3 linked regions of the Oryzias latipes genome follow. The protein of the gene in region 3 interacts with the protein of the main gene of each other region in a pairwise test. Links are inferred from orthologs where the notes say so. Each region holds a gene or a part of one and is shown on either strand. Other genes may lie near its edges. The genes, in order: fgfr1op, calcium-binding and coiled-coil domain-containing protein 1 and cep19.

Region 1 (4,217 bases), on a different chromosome or scaffold from region 3:
CTAAAGAGACACACTTCATGAATGACATTTATCCATGTCAAGACACATGAAAGAAAGGTTTCCTTTCCTCCTAGTTTACCAAACATCACTATCAATAATTTACATTTATGTCAGAGATAAAGCACGACGACAAAATGGTCAAAGATGAAAGTATTTCCTCTGCTTTGAAAACAATATGGTTCTACTTCAAGGAATTTTCATTTATATTTTTTATTAGAACTTCAAAAGATCACATAAATTTTCACATGGATAGAACAGAAAGAAATACAAATGTAGACAATAATAAAATACAACATAATAAAATAAAATTAGAATTGAGCCTAGTACAAATGTCATAATATAATATTAAATTATGGATTGTTATACAGCATGTTATCTATCATGAAAATGGATAGTTTTCTTGCATTTTTGTTTATCATAAATGTCAGTGATTGAAAATATAATATCTCTTTATGAAATGTATTAAATAATAGTTTTATTGCTAAGAATCTGCTTTTATTAATGAAAAAATTACCAGATATTAATAGTGTTTTAAATGCCAAATTAAATAATTTATCACCAGAATTTACTCCAAATAATACGATGTGTTTTTGTAGCTGAATAAGAATAGGAAAAGGAGACTTTGAACAGCACCAACAAAAAAACTCCCCAAAACTGTTATAACATAACATATACAGTATACATTCAAAAACAGATGATCAAGTGTTTCTATATTGATCTCATAAAAATAACAGTTATTTTCTGGAAAACCAAAGCGTAGTTCATGGTTATTAAATGGATTTCTTTGTATTTTGCAAAAATCTGATATTTAATAAATTTAGATCTAAACTTGCACATTTCCTCTTATGTGAAATGATGAAACAGTTCTCTAACAAAGACTGTTTAATGAGTTTGAAAGTTTTGAATAAAGCGATTGACCATCAAACAACAGAGATGGAAGCTGAACTTGAACATCATGAACCAGACTGGAGGACATTTGGACCAAAGTCTGAGGGATTGCTTTGATCACATTGTTATATTGTTTTTCTATAATTTAATTTAAACTTACAGGAAACACTTTTAAATTAAATAATGTTTCCATTATAATTCATGATGTGTGATAATGACCAAATACCGTTATCAATCCAATTTTTGTAAAATATTGATTTGTTATCCCATAAAATCTACCAACAGTTACATATGGGAGAGTTGTGTTTAAATATGAGTTTCCTGATGATAAGTACAAGTTTAACAGAAAGATTTCTGTAGTCAAAAATCACATTTTAGCATGAACTCATTACCCCCTAAATGAGAGATCAACTTGACGGTGTCTGGAGGCTCCAGCTCCTCCAGGGCGACAGGGGGCGCTCTTAGTTTAACGCAGAAGGAGAAGAAGAAGAAAAGGAGGAAGAAGAGACACACACACACACCTGCGGTTTTCTGTTAGCATAGCTTCAGGTGAACATGTCTGCTGCGGAAGATGACACGGAATTGCGGGACCTGGTGATCCAGAACTTGGAGAATAGTGGAGTCCTGAACAAGATGAAGGTGCGCGGATCAAATCCAAACAGAACGGTTGTCTGGTTCGTCAGCGCTCTCTGCCGGGCTGAACGTTACGTTGGCTTTATGCACAAATCCTAATTTACGCATGCACAAAGCAAGAAGAATATGCATACACACAAATCCTAATTTACGCACAAATCAAGAATTACGCACGCACAAATCCGACTGAGTCTAATTTCTCTCCATACAAGGCCATCTAGTGCCCTGAAATTTAAAAGCAGTTTGGACACCATGATGCTCGCTATGTTAATATAAAAGATTTTCATAATCATTTACTGTTAAACCTGAAGGTCACTTTACTTCTGCTTGAATTTTACTTTTGCTATTTATTAAGTCTTTTTTTGCTGCTGCAGACAAAATAATTTCCCCATCGTGGGATAAAGTCTTAACTTATCTAATTACTTCTTCTTCTTTTTTTTTCAAACAGCGAAGTAAAAATCTCATTGATAGGAGTGTTTTGCGACGATCATTTATGAATCCACTGAGTTCTGAAAATGAAAACGTTGATGGTTTATTAAAAAAATACATTTAAATGCAATTTTTTCGCAAAAATTGTTCAAGCGCAATGTATTGTGGTCTTTATTTGCCAATCTAGTGAGCATCGAATGGACACTGGTTTTGTTCAGAGATTTCTGGGAAATTTCTTAGGCACTTGATTTTGGAATAGTAGATTTGGACAGCACATCAGAATGGTGAACACACTATATAGTGCGTATTGAAGGAATTTGGACAAAGCCTAAAATTCCAAAATCCACTGCTCTGGAAATTTCCCACAAATTTCTGCAAAGAACTAGTGTTCATCTATGTTAACAAGGATGGCAAAAATAGACCACTGTCAGGAGTCTTCCTGGATGCTGCACACCTGACTCTTATTCATTCAATCAACCACAGCAAACTTAAGCTCCGCACTGAGTGAAGCTCAGTGCAAAGTATAGTTCCTGCCTTCATTACTGTGCGTTATATCTGGACTTGATCTTATGTCTTCTGACCCTGACTCTGTTTGCCTGCCGCCTGCCCCGACCCTCGCCTAGATTTTGACCACCCTGTCTCTCCACTGATGATCTTATGCCTGTTATCAACTCCTGCCTGCTTGACCCTGATTTAGCTTTGTGGACTTTTAGCTGAGCTAATAAAGCTGCTGCACTTGGATCCAGCCGTCGGCCTGTTCTTGTCACAGACCACAATGCGTTGTGTTTGCACAGTTTGTCATTTGAAAAAGGTTATGTAAATTTAACGTATGGATTCATACGTTGTCTTTGTTAAATATTCAAATCTATTAGGTTTTTACTTCTGCAAACTGATGTTATAGGTGTTGTTTTAAAAAAGAAAAAAGTGACTCTGAATTGCATCAAAATCTAGATACTGGATGGTCCTGCACTTTGTAATCATTTAGGGTTAGGGAGAAGTGAGAGAATGCAGACATAGTCCATGCCTGCTGGAAAAATGTTCTTTGGACAGATGAGACTAAGTGATGAAGAGAAGACCTGCTCAGCTTCAACCAAGTACAGCATTCAAAGAAAAGATCCTTATAACAACTGTGCAGCACAGAGGTGGAAGTGTCATAGTTTTGGGATGCTTTGCTACTGCAGGACCTGGCCACCTCACCATCAAAAAATCTGTCATAAATGTTACCGTGTGTCAGGTTAAAAATTAAATGGATGGATAGATAGATACTGAATGACTTTATTGCCCCTCCTCCTTCTGCTGTACTGACTTTGTTTCAAACATTTGGTTAGAACTGAAGCTGCACTTTGAATTTAAAGAACTGTCAAAAGGAATGTTGATGGATTGGAGATGAAGGGCGGCTCTCATGCTGCTGCTTGTCTTTGCTCCTGCAGGCGGAGATGAGGGCTGCAGTGTTTCTGGCCATGGAGGACCAAGATAGACTGGAGGTGGGCCTTGGTCCTGAGTGGACTCTCCACTCTTGGCTCCTCTCTCACCTGCTTTTCCTTTTCGTCTTCAGAACAAAGTCCCGCTCGTCAATGAAAGCCTAAAGAAGTGTCTGAACAGCAGAGACGGTGAGTTTTGATGCTGTGGGCTCTGAGTGCTGGCTGCTCTAAGCCAACAAGAGGAATGGAATCAGTATGAACTCATCATGAAAAAGTTGGATAGAGCAGGGTCACATAAACCCACTTTGATTATTGTGAAAGGTACAACAGTTTAGGAGGGGGAAAAAAGTTTGTTGTCCTCAGTGCCGTCGTTTAATAATGTCGAGCCTCTGGTAGCCCAAATAATCTGTCATAATCAGAGGAGCACACGATCAAAAACCTGATCTGATTAAAAAAAAACTGGCTAATCATTCATCACACTGAGGCAGAGAGAGAGTAGGTTACTGATGTGAAAGAGGGGCGGGGAATGGCCATGCCTCTCTGCTGCTGCCCGTTGTCTCCTCTCTCCCCCTAGCAGCTACTCACCGGGTCCAGCTCTGGTCTTTAGAGTCAAATCAGGATCATCTTAAAGTGAATGAAAAACCAGATTGAACATTATGGAAAAATATTTAAAGACTCATCCCTCCTCTGGTGTCGGCATAGAGCCGACCAAAAAAACAAGGGTTTTCCATATTTTCCGGTCTTCTGCAAGAAGTATCCTTCAGTATCCTTCATATCAACCCCATGAGGTTTAACATCTCCTACAATGACGTCTGTCCACCAAGGACGGGGTTTGCCTTGAGGTCA
Region 2 (3,654 bases), on a different chromosome or scaffold from region 3:
GTATTAATAAAACAAAATTTCACCCGTTCATTGTAAAGAGATAATGTTATTTGCTTCATAATAAATGTTGATTTTTGTTAGTGTTTAATGTTCAACAGTTTTATAAGGCTTTCACCTAAAAAAGTCAGAAATCATCAGGCCTGTAAGGGTGATGGCTGCTGAGTTCATGATTAAAGTACTGCCCTGCTTTGTGATGTGAAGCCTGTGTTCTTTTGCTCTGCAGGATTTGATGGACTACATCTGTCAGCTGGAGCAGAAGATTGGAATGGCGGCCAGTACCAGCTGGGAAGCTGCACCGCTCGCCTCTTCAGGTAGTTTGAGCAGCACTTAAACTGCTGGTTTAACCTGCGCACAAAACCAATATCTTATCTTGAACTGAACTAAATGCAGCTCAGTTGGACATGTGTCGTGAAGATGGGTGACCTCTCTCCTTTTGTCTATGTGGCAGGCAGTCCTGCCAGTGTGCCATCTGAGTCTGAGGATGAGAGCCCGGAGCCTTTAGAAATCCACCATCCACCCCAAAACGTTGGACACTACAGCCTTTGCGAGCACGGCCAGCCCGACTCCTTGCACCTTGCAACACCCCCTCAGTCCCCCAAGGAGGCGAACTGGAGACTAGTGGTCATCAGCCAGCCAGCCCCTCTTTCCCTGCCGCATCAGGCCAGTGCTGGCACTCTCCCACACAACTCCAATTCATCAGAGCCATTCATAGCAGCATCATTATACGTGGTCATGCAGATAGGCGTGCAAACCAGTTAAACACGGGCAGTGGGTCGTTTGATTTGGACGTTATCTTGCGGAAGCAATTAGGTCCCTAGTTTGCAAGTTATTAGACTGTAATAGCTGCTCGAGTTAAGTGTTTGTGTGTATGTGTGTGTTCTTGTGGGATTTAGGAGGAAGAATCGGATTCAGTCCAGAATGGAAGGAAGGAGTACAGAGAGGAAACATCATTTTTGTTGTCCCAGCACACCACTGACGCTCTCAGGTACAACCCTCCAAAGAAATGACTCCTCTGTCGACCTTTTTATTTTAACTTTACCCTACAATTATTCAAACAAAAGGAAACAATTCTGCTCTTTTTTATAATTAAACATTAAAGTCCCACTCCAGTCATTTTTAATCTATTGTAAAACTGTTCCCAGTGATCTTTTAATTATGATTATGCTGTTTTTAGCTAAAGATTTTTTTTTTAATCTTGTTTTCAAGGACATAATTTCTGTAGAGCAGCAGTAGTTCATCAGAAAATTACCCCCGAGATGTGGGCGGGACTGTTGACATGGAGCAACCCCGCCCCCTTCCCAATATCCATCTTAAACTTCATTTATGCTCCATAAATAATGTTAAAAGTACATCACATGATGGTTAAAATTCACTGTCAGGTGACTAAAATAGTATACTTCACAAGAAGAAATTAAAAAAATATGTCAAACTGAAAAGTCATTTATCTGCAGAGAAAAGCTTCATTAGGAAAACATTACAGTAGATTGGCATTCTTCTTGCAGTACAGCTAGAGGTACTCTAAATGCTATAGGTAGACTGTTCTAGTCCTACTTACTCATTTATTTCTTAAGCACAGCCTTTAGCATATGAATGCTGAAATGTCAGAAATGATCTAACAGTTTCATAAGCTGCTAGTGTTATAGCCTCTGAAAGGCAGAAAGGATGGCTTGTCAGCCCTCTCAGTACGCTGAAGGATATTCCCCTCAATAAAGAGTGAAGGATCACCAGGCGCAGAGCTGGAATGACCGCAACACCTTGAACACAGGTGAAGATTTAGTGTTCAGAGAAATTCAGATTTGCATTTGAAAACTTCCCTGACGTCAGACAATTAGCGTCTCTCCTTTGTCACGGTGGCTGGTTTTTAACAGCAGCGACGTGTCATATTTTATGAGCTCGTGACTTGATTTGTGTGTACACTTTTTAAGTCTGCGAGCATCTTGAGAACAAAGCCGCCCTCTAAATGGAGTGGAGTAAGAAATGCTCTCTTCTTTTCGGGGATGTGGATAAGTTGAAGCAAAAATCTCTTTCAAATTTAGAAACTTTAAACCTCACAAAGCACAGTACGCGAGTCCTCTGTCACTTTCCATCTCTGCGCTCAGAAAAAGGCAACGCTTTTGAATGCACTCACACCAATGCAACCCGTTATTTACGGTGACTGTGGCTCGGAGATGGAAGTTTTGAATATGTGGTTGTAAAAGAAGTGGAGTCAGGGTGACGTGGGGGAGACCGTTTTAGACAGGGGGCGTAGGACGGGAAAGATGGGAGGACACAGGGACAGACAAGTTGACAGGGAGCTCTTGTGATGATTTACCTGACAGGTGGACCGCAGTCATGGGCCAATTTTCAGCATCATTAAGACTCTCCCTCTCCCACTCAGCCTCTCATCCTTTTTCAATCACAATGTGGGTTTATTTCCCTTTTTTTTTTTTTATTTAACATGCACGCTTTCTTCTTTGTGTCTTTCTCCAGCAATATGGCTGACACTTTGCTATGGTAACAGCCAACCACAGGAGATGGGCATCCGGACTTCAAGTTTCTTCTCCTCTGATGTCCGTTTATAGTCCCCGTTCGTTCAAAACGAAGGTTTTAATCTGCAGTTCCAACATATCAAACTTCTCAGATTTCCTTTTTCTTTCCCTCATAACTGTTGTGTTATTACCTTGGCTCTTTTTGCCAGTGGTGTCAGGTGAGCTTTTTTATTTTCTACGGTTGACACAAGAAACCGGAGCAACCAGCTCCGGGGCTGGGACCCTGTCGTTTGAGAGTTTGCACACCGTAGCACAATGATTATTGTTGAATCATTGTTATGTGGAGAGCTTTACGATAGATGTTATGTCATTTTTATGGCAATCGTGATTAAGAGTCGCGACAGGCACTGTAATAACAATGTTTTGTGCAGGACCGGCTTCGGTGAAAATCACAAGAATCCAGCATTAAATTCTGTACGGCTCCTTCAGACACTTTTTAAAGCATCGTGAAGTAATGATGCCGCGTCATGCTTAAATATACTGCAATAACGTTGATCTAAGACACCATATTTCTCTCTTATTTTCTTCAGAACCAAGATTTGATATGCACTTTCTTGAAGGCATAAGTAGTTGATTGTAGCAGCAGAAGTGATTTAAGAGAAGTGGACGGGGTTTTGAACCACAGCTTCCTAAGCTGACTGTGTAATTGTAGACGTCACACAGCTTTACACATCAAAATGATCTTAGAAGCCTTTCGCTATAGATCAAATGCAATTTATATTTGTTAATAAAAGAGACTCTTTTAACAACTACTACAATCCTTAAGGTGTGTATTTGAATGCTTAACTTCAGCTTAATTCACTGATTCACCCATGCAGTTCTAGATGTGTGCCGAAAGCTGTAAGCCGGATTTAAGGCGATGCGCTGCCTATTAAGAAATGTTGCCTGTGTTCAATCAATACCTTATGCATTTTTTAATGTTTTTTAGTCAAAGTTTAGCTGCAGTTAAAGCATATTCAGGTTAGGTTTGTAATAGATGTGCGTGGATTGTGGAACAGCAGCTTCCTTGCTAGGCTAAGAAATCTGACTATAGATGCCTAGATGCTTAATTTTACCTGCTGTTTTGCACACTGTTTTTATTCTAGGAGTGTTTTTAGATTAAACAAGGATCCATGGATGCTCAGTT
Region 3 (3,347 bases):
ACAGGAGTAAAGGTTTTCCCATCAAAGGAGGGCTTGTGGTAGCGACCATGAATAGGAATTGTTACTTTTAGCGGATTGGGAGTTGGTCCGGCATGGGAGGGAAACACGTAGGTGGAAAACTCTGAAGTCCTGTGGGCTGGCTCTTCTAGGTCGATAGCGGTATTAAACAACATCTTTTAGTGATAGAGACAGAAACATGCACCTCAGTAAAACACAAAAAACACCATTTAACATTAATTTGGAGATTTTAAATTCTCAGTGTAAATTAAACTTGAGAGATCTTTTCGATTCAACCTGCCAGCCACGTTGATGACTCAGAGATGCAACTTGATATGGGTCCACATAGACGTCCCTGGGCCACCTGTAAACCAACAAAGCTCTGACATCCGCCGGAGTCTCACTGCCAAGCTCAACGGTGGTCACCACCTCCCTGCACAGCACAAAGAAAGGACTCACAACATTTGAAACACTTGTTTCACTGATTCTGAACACGTGTTTCCAAGCACCTGTGAAAGCCCTTATGGCTGAGCTCCACATACAACGAGGGTTGGAGGCCTTTCAGGAAAAAGCAGGGCTCCTGATCACCATTTCCTAATAATAAACAAAAACGACGTTTAAATTATTCTGTTCAGTTTTTTTTTCTGACTTAAGCTTGTTTAATAACCTTTCATATGCATGTTCCACATTCCAACTGAGATGTATTTAGTCAGAAATAGCATTACCAATTAAAATGTATGGTTGAGAGAACTTATCTGTACATGTATCATTATATCATTCACCACCGTGTTTTCGAGGCAGGACGTTTTACATTGCTTACCCTCTTTGAGCAAACAAACACACGGAGCTGAACAGAAAAAAAGATAAAAGCGTAAATAGTACATTAAAAACTCCAGTAAAATGAGCACTAAATAAAATACTGAATGTTCGTTTATTCGAATCAAGAAAGTGTTTCAGGAAGTGTTTTGTGAAGGACCCTTAGCAAGCTTAGGATGGCTACAATTGTGCCTGTCTAAAAACACGTTGGCTCGCGGTTTTCATCCGCATAATAAACAAAACAAAAACTTTGACATGGGATAACAAATATACACATATTTAACATAACCATTATTTATATATACAATTAATTTTAAAGAGTAAACATTGAGGAATTCTAAACAGGCGCAAGCGAAGTCCTTCGTGTTAGCAGTTGGTGGTAGGCTACCGAGCATCAACACTTCTACCTCTGTGCTGCTAGTTATGTTATTTAGCTAAGTCGCATCGCTGCGCTAGAAGTGTTTAAATGAAGACCAAATAAATACATTTGGGGCAAAGGAGATGCGTTTTGAGGCAAAGCGATGCGGCGTGCGGTTTAACCCACCGTCCATAGTTTTAGTTTATGTAAATACGGAGACCAAAAAGCTGCGGAAAAGAGTAATACCCATAAGAAACTTTACAAAGCTGTCAGGTAAAAAAGCAACAACATTATTTTGTGATTTTTATAAATTAACGAAACAGTGTGATAAAGAAAGTACGATGATCCGGCCTTAGTCTTTCTGTAGCCCAAACCATTGCAGTGATTTCTTTTGGGGTCCTGATTGTTGTCGTAAGCATGATGATGCTGAGGCCTCCTGACATCAGAGCCGTCTAATTCGGATGATAAAAAAGTAGAAAAAAGTATTAATTTGTTACTTCTCCTTTCCAAATTTTACATTCATAAGTGCAGAATAAAAAAACAACTCCCAACTTCACCATATTTAAGTTCGAGATGCTCCAGTTTTATGAATATATAAAAAAAATTAATACACCCAAAGCAAGTAACACTGAAATAATTTGTGCTTTTTTGTTTGATAGGTAATCCCCTCCTCTAAGAAAACTTTGTATTATAAATATTATTATTATCATTATTTTGTAATCCCCTTTTATATATTTTAAGATAATTTATTTTTCTATCAGCATATTCTATTTTGGATATATTTCTGATTATTTTATTATTATTATTTTTTTCTTCTTGAAATGATTCAATAAGTTTGGATTGATGACATTGACTATCACTGCTGATGCTCTTTCTGAGTCTTTGATGCTGGATTTTGTATGCTTATGCTTTGTTCAATAAAGTTGTAAAAAAAAAAAAAAAAAAAAAAACATCAGAGCCGTCTTCCTCACCGTGTCTCCTCTGACTCCAGACTGCTGCATGGCTGCAGAGCAGCTGAAGGAGCACCCTCGGCACAGGGACTACCTGGAGGCGGTCTCCCAGGGCCAACTAGAGAAGCTTCACATCCTCCTCCAGGATCACCTACGTGGTTTGAGCCTGAAGCACAGCCTCTCCACCTTCCACCTGGACCCGGACGAGGACCTCAACAAACTAGATGACAAGGAACTAGCTCGCAAAAAAGCTCAAATGGACAGAGAGTTTGAGAGAAATAGGAAGCACAAGGATGATCCAGGCTTTGTTTATGACCTGGAGGTGGATTTTGAAAAGGCCCCTCAGGAGAACTGTAGCTGGGATGAGTCAGATGACGGATTTTAAAGCTCCCCGCCAAGGAACACCAACTCCAAAATCACACTAAAATAAAATCTCCATAGGCCTCTACATCTTCCATTTAATCCAATGACTGTAAACCAGAACACGTCAGAAGAAATTATCTCAAGCTCCCTTCTTGTCAAAGTTACCACTGACCGAATGAAGGGAAGTGAATCAACAGCAGCGTCTTGAAATGCAACACAAATAAAGACTAAAAGGACCGAAATTGTGATTACCAGTGAAAATTTATTTGTTATAAAATACAGAGTTGAAGAAAATACATAAACTTTGGTTCAAACATTTGTGGCTTACAAAACATGATTTTCAGTCAAACATTAGGAAGAATCTAAACTTCTATTAAATAAAATCTGAATGTATAGTAGTATTTCAACAATAAAACAAATCTCTTTGGAAACATTTCTACAAAATATTGACTTGTATAAAATATATAGTTCCATGGAAGGTTGGACAGTGTTTCCCTTCCATCTCTATTGGCCCGACAGACTTTTCAATGGTTACGTGTTACAGCAAAGGTTCATGAACTACAGATCACACCCAGCCTGCAGGATCATACTTCTTCAGGGTACTTTCTTCAAAGTGCTTGAATACCTCATATTCAGGTGACCGGAGACACCCACAGTACCACAATACATTCAAAAATGTCGTAGGCGTTTTGACTTGGACACAGTCTGAGTTCTAACTTTGTGCTTGTCTTGGTGTGAGCGAATTGAAAAAGAACAGAAGTAGTACTTGTTTTAAGCACCACATTTAACTGCAGTGTAAATGTTAATCCAAAGGAGGTAGTAACAAAAAAAAAAAACATCATTCCTTTTTTTCCCCACTATTG

Evidence for each region.
Region 1: the proteins of cep19 (region 3) and fgfr1op interact in binary tests that used the Homo sapiens proteins (3 or more experiments, as listed by UniProt). The two-hybrid records come from large-scale screens. The link is inferred for Oryzias latipes from reciprocal best matches to the Homo sapiens genes CEP19 and CEP43.
Region 2: the proteins of cep19 (region 3) and calcium-binding and coiled-coil domain-containing protein 1 interact in binary tests that used the Homo sapiens proteins (3 or more experiments, as listed by UniProt). The two-hybrid records come from large-scale screens. The link is inferred for Oryzias latipes from reciprocal best matches to the Homo sapiens genes CEP19 and CALCOCO1.

Annotation. Positions count from the first base shown.
Region 1 is NC_019882.2:22,955,260-22,959,476, forward strand, and holds the start of fgfr1op (FGFR1 oncogene partner), read left to right. Parts: upstream 1-1,373; 5' UTR 1,374-1,443; coding exon 1,444-1,527; intron 1,528-3,380; coding exon 3,381-3,434; intron 3,435-3,505; coding exon 3,506-3,560; intron 3,561-4,217. UniProt on the Homo sapiens protein: Required for anchoring microtubules to the centrosomes. Required for ciliation.
Region 2 is NC_019865.2:12,634,979-12,638,632, reverse strand, and holds part of calcium-binding and coiled-coil domain-containing protein 1, read left to right. Parts: intron 1-223; coding exon 224-311; intron 312-448; coding exon 449-660; intron 661-893; coding exon 894-985; intron 986-2,469; coding exon 2,470-2,497; 3' UTR 2,498-3,654. UniProt on the Homo sapiens protein: Functions as a coactivator for aryl hydrocarbon and nuclear receptors (NR). Recruited to promoters through its contact with the N-terminal basic helix-loop-helix-Per-Arnt-Sim (PAS) domain of transcription factors or coactivators, such as NCOA2.
Region 3 is NC_019862.2:3,243,674-3,247,020, reverse strand, and holds cep19 (centrosomal protein of 19 kDa), read left to right. Parts: upstream 1-1,212; 5' UTR 1,213-1,314; coding exon 1,315-1,444; exon of another isoform or gene 1,445-1,470; intron 1,471-2,162; coding exon 2,163-2,506; 3' UTR 2,507-2,774; downstream 2,775-3,347. Other genes in the region: pigx (phosphatidylinositol-glycan biosynthesis class X protein), read right to left, coding at 1-173, 295-430, 507-591, 818-881. UniProt on the Homo sapiens protein: Required for ciliation. Recruits the RABL2B GTPase to the ciliary base to initiate ciliation.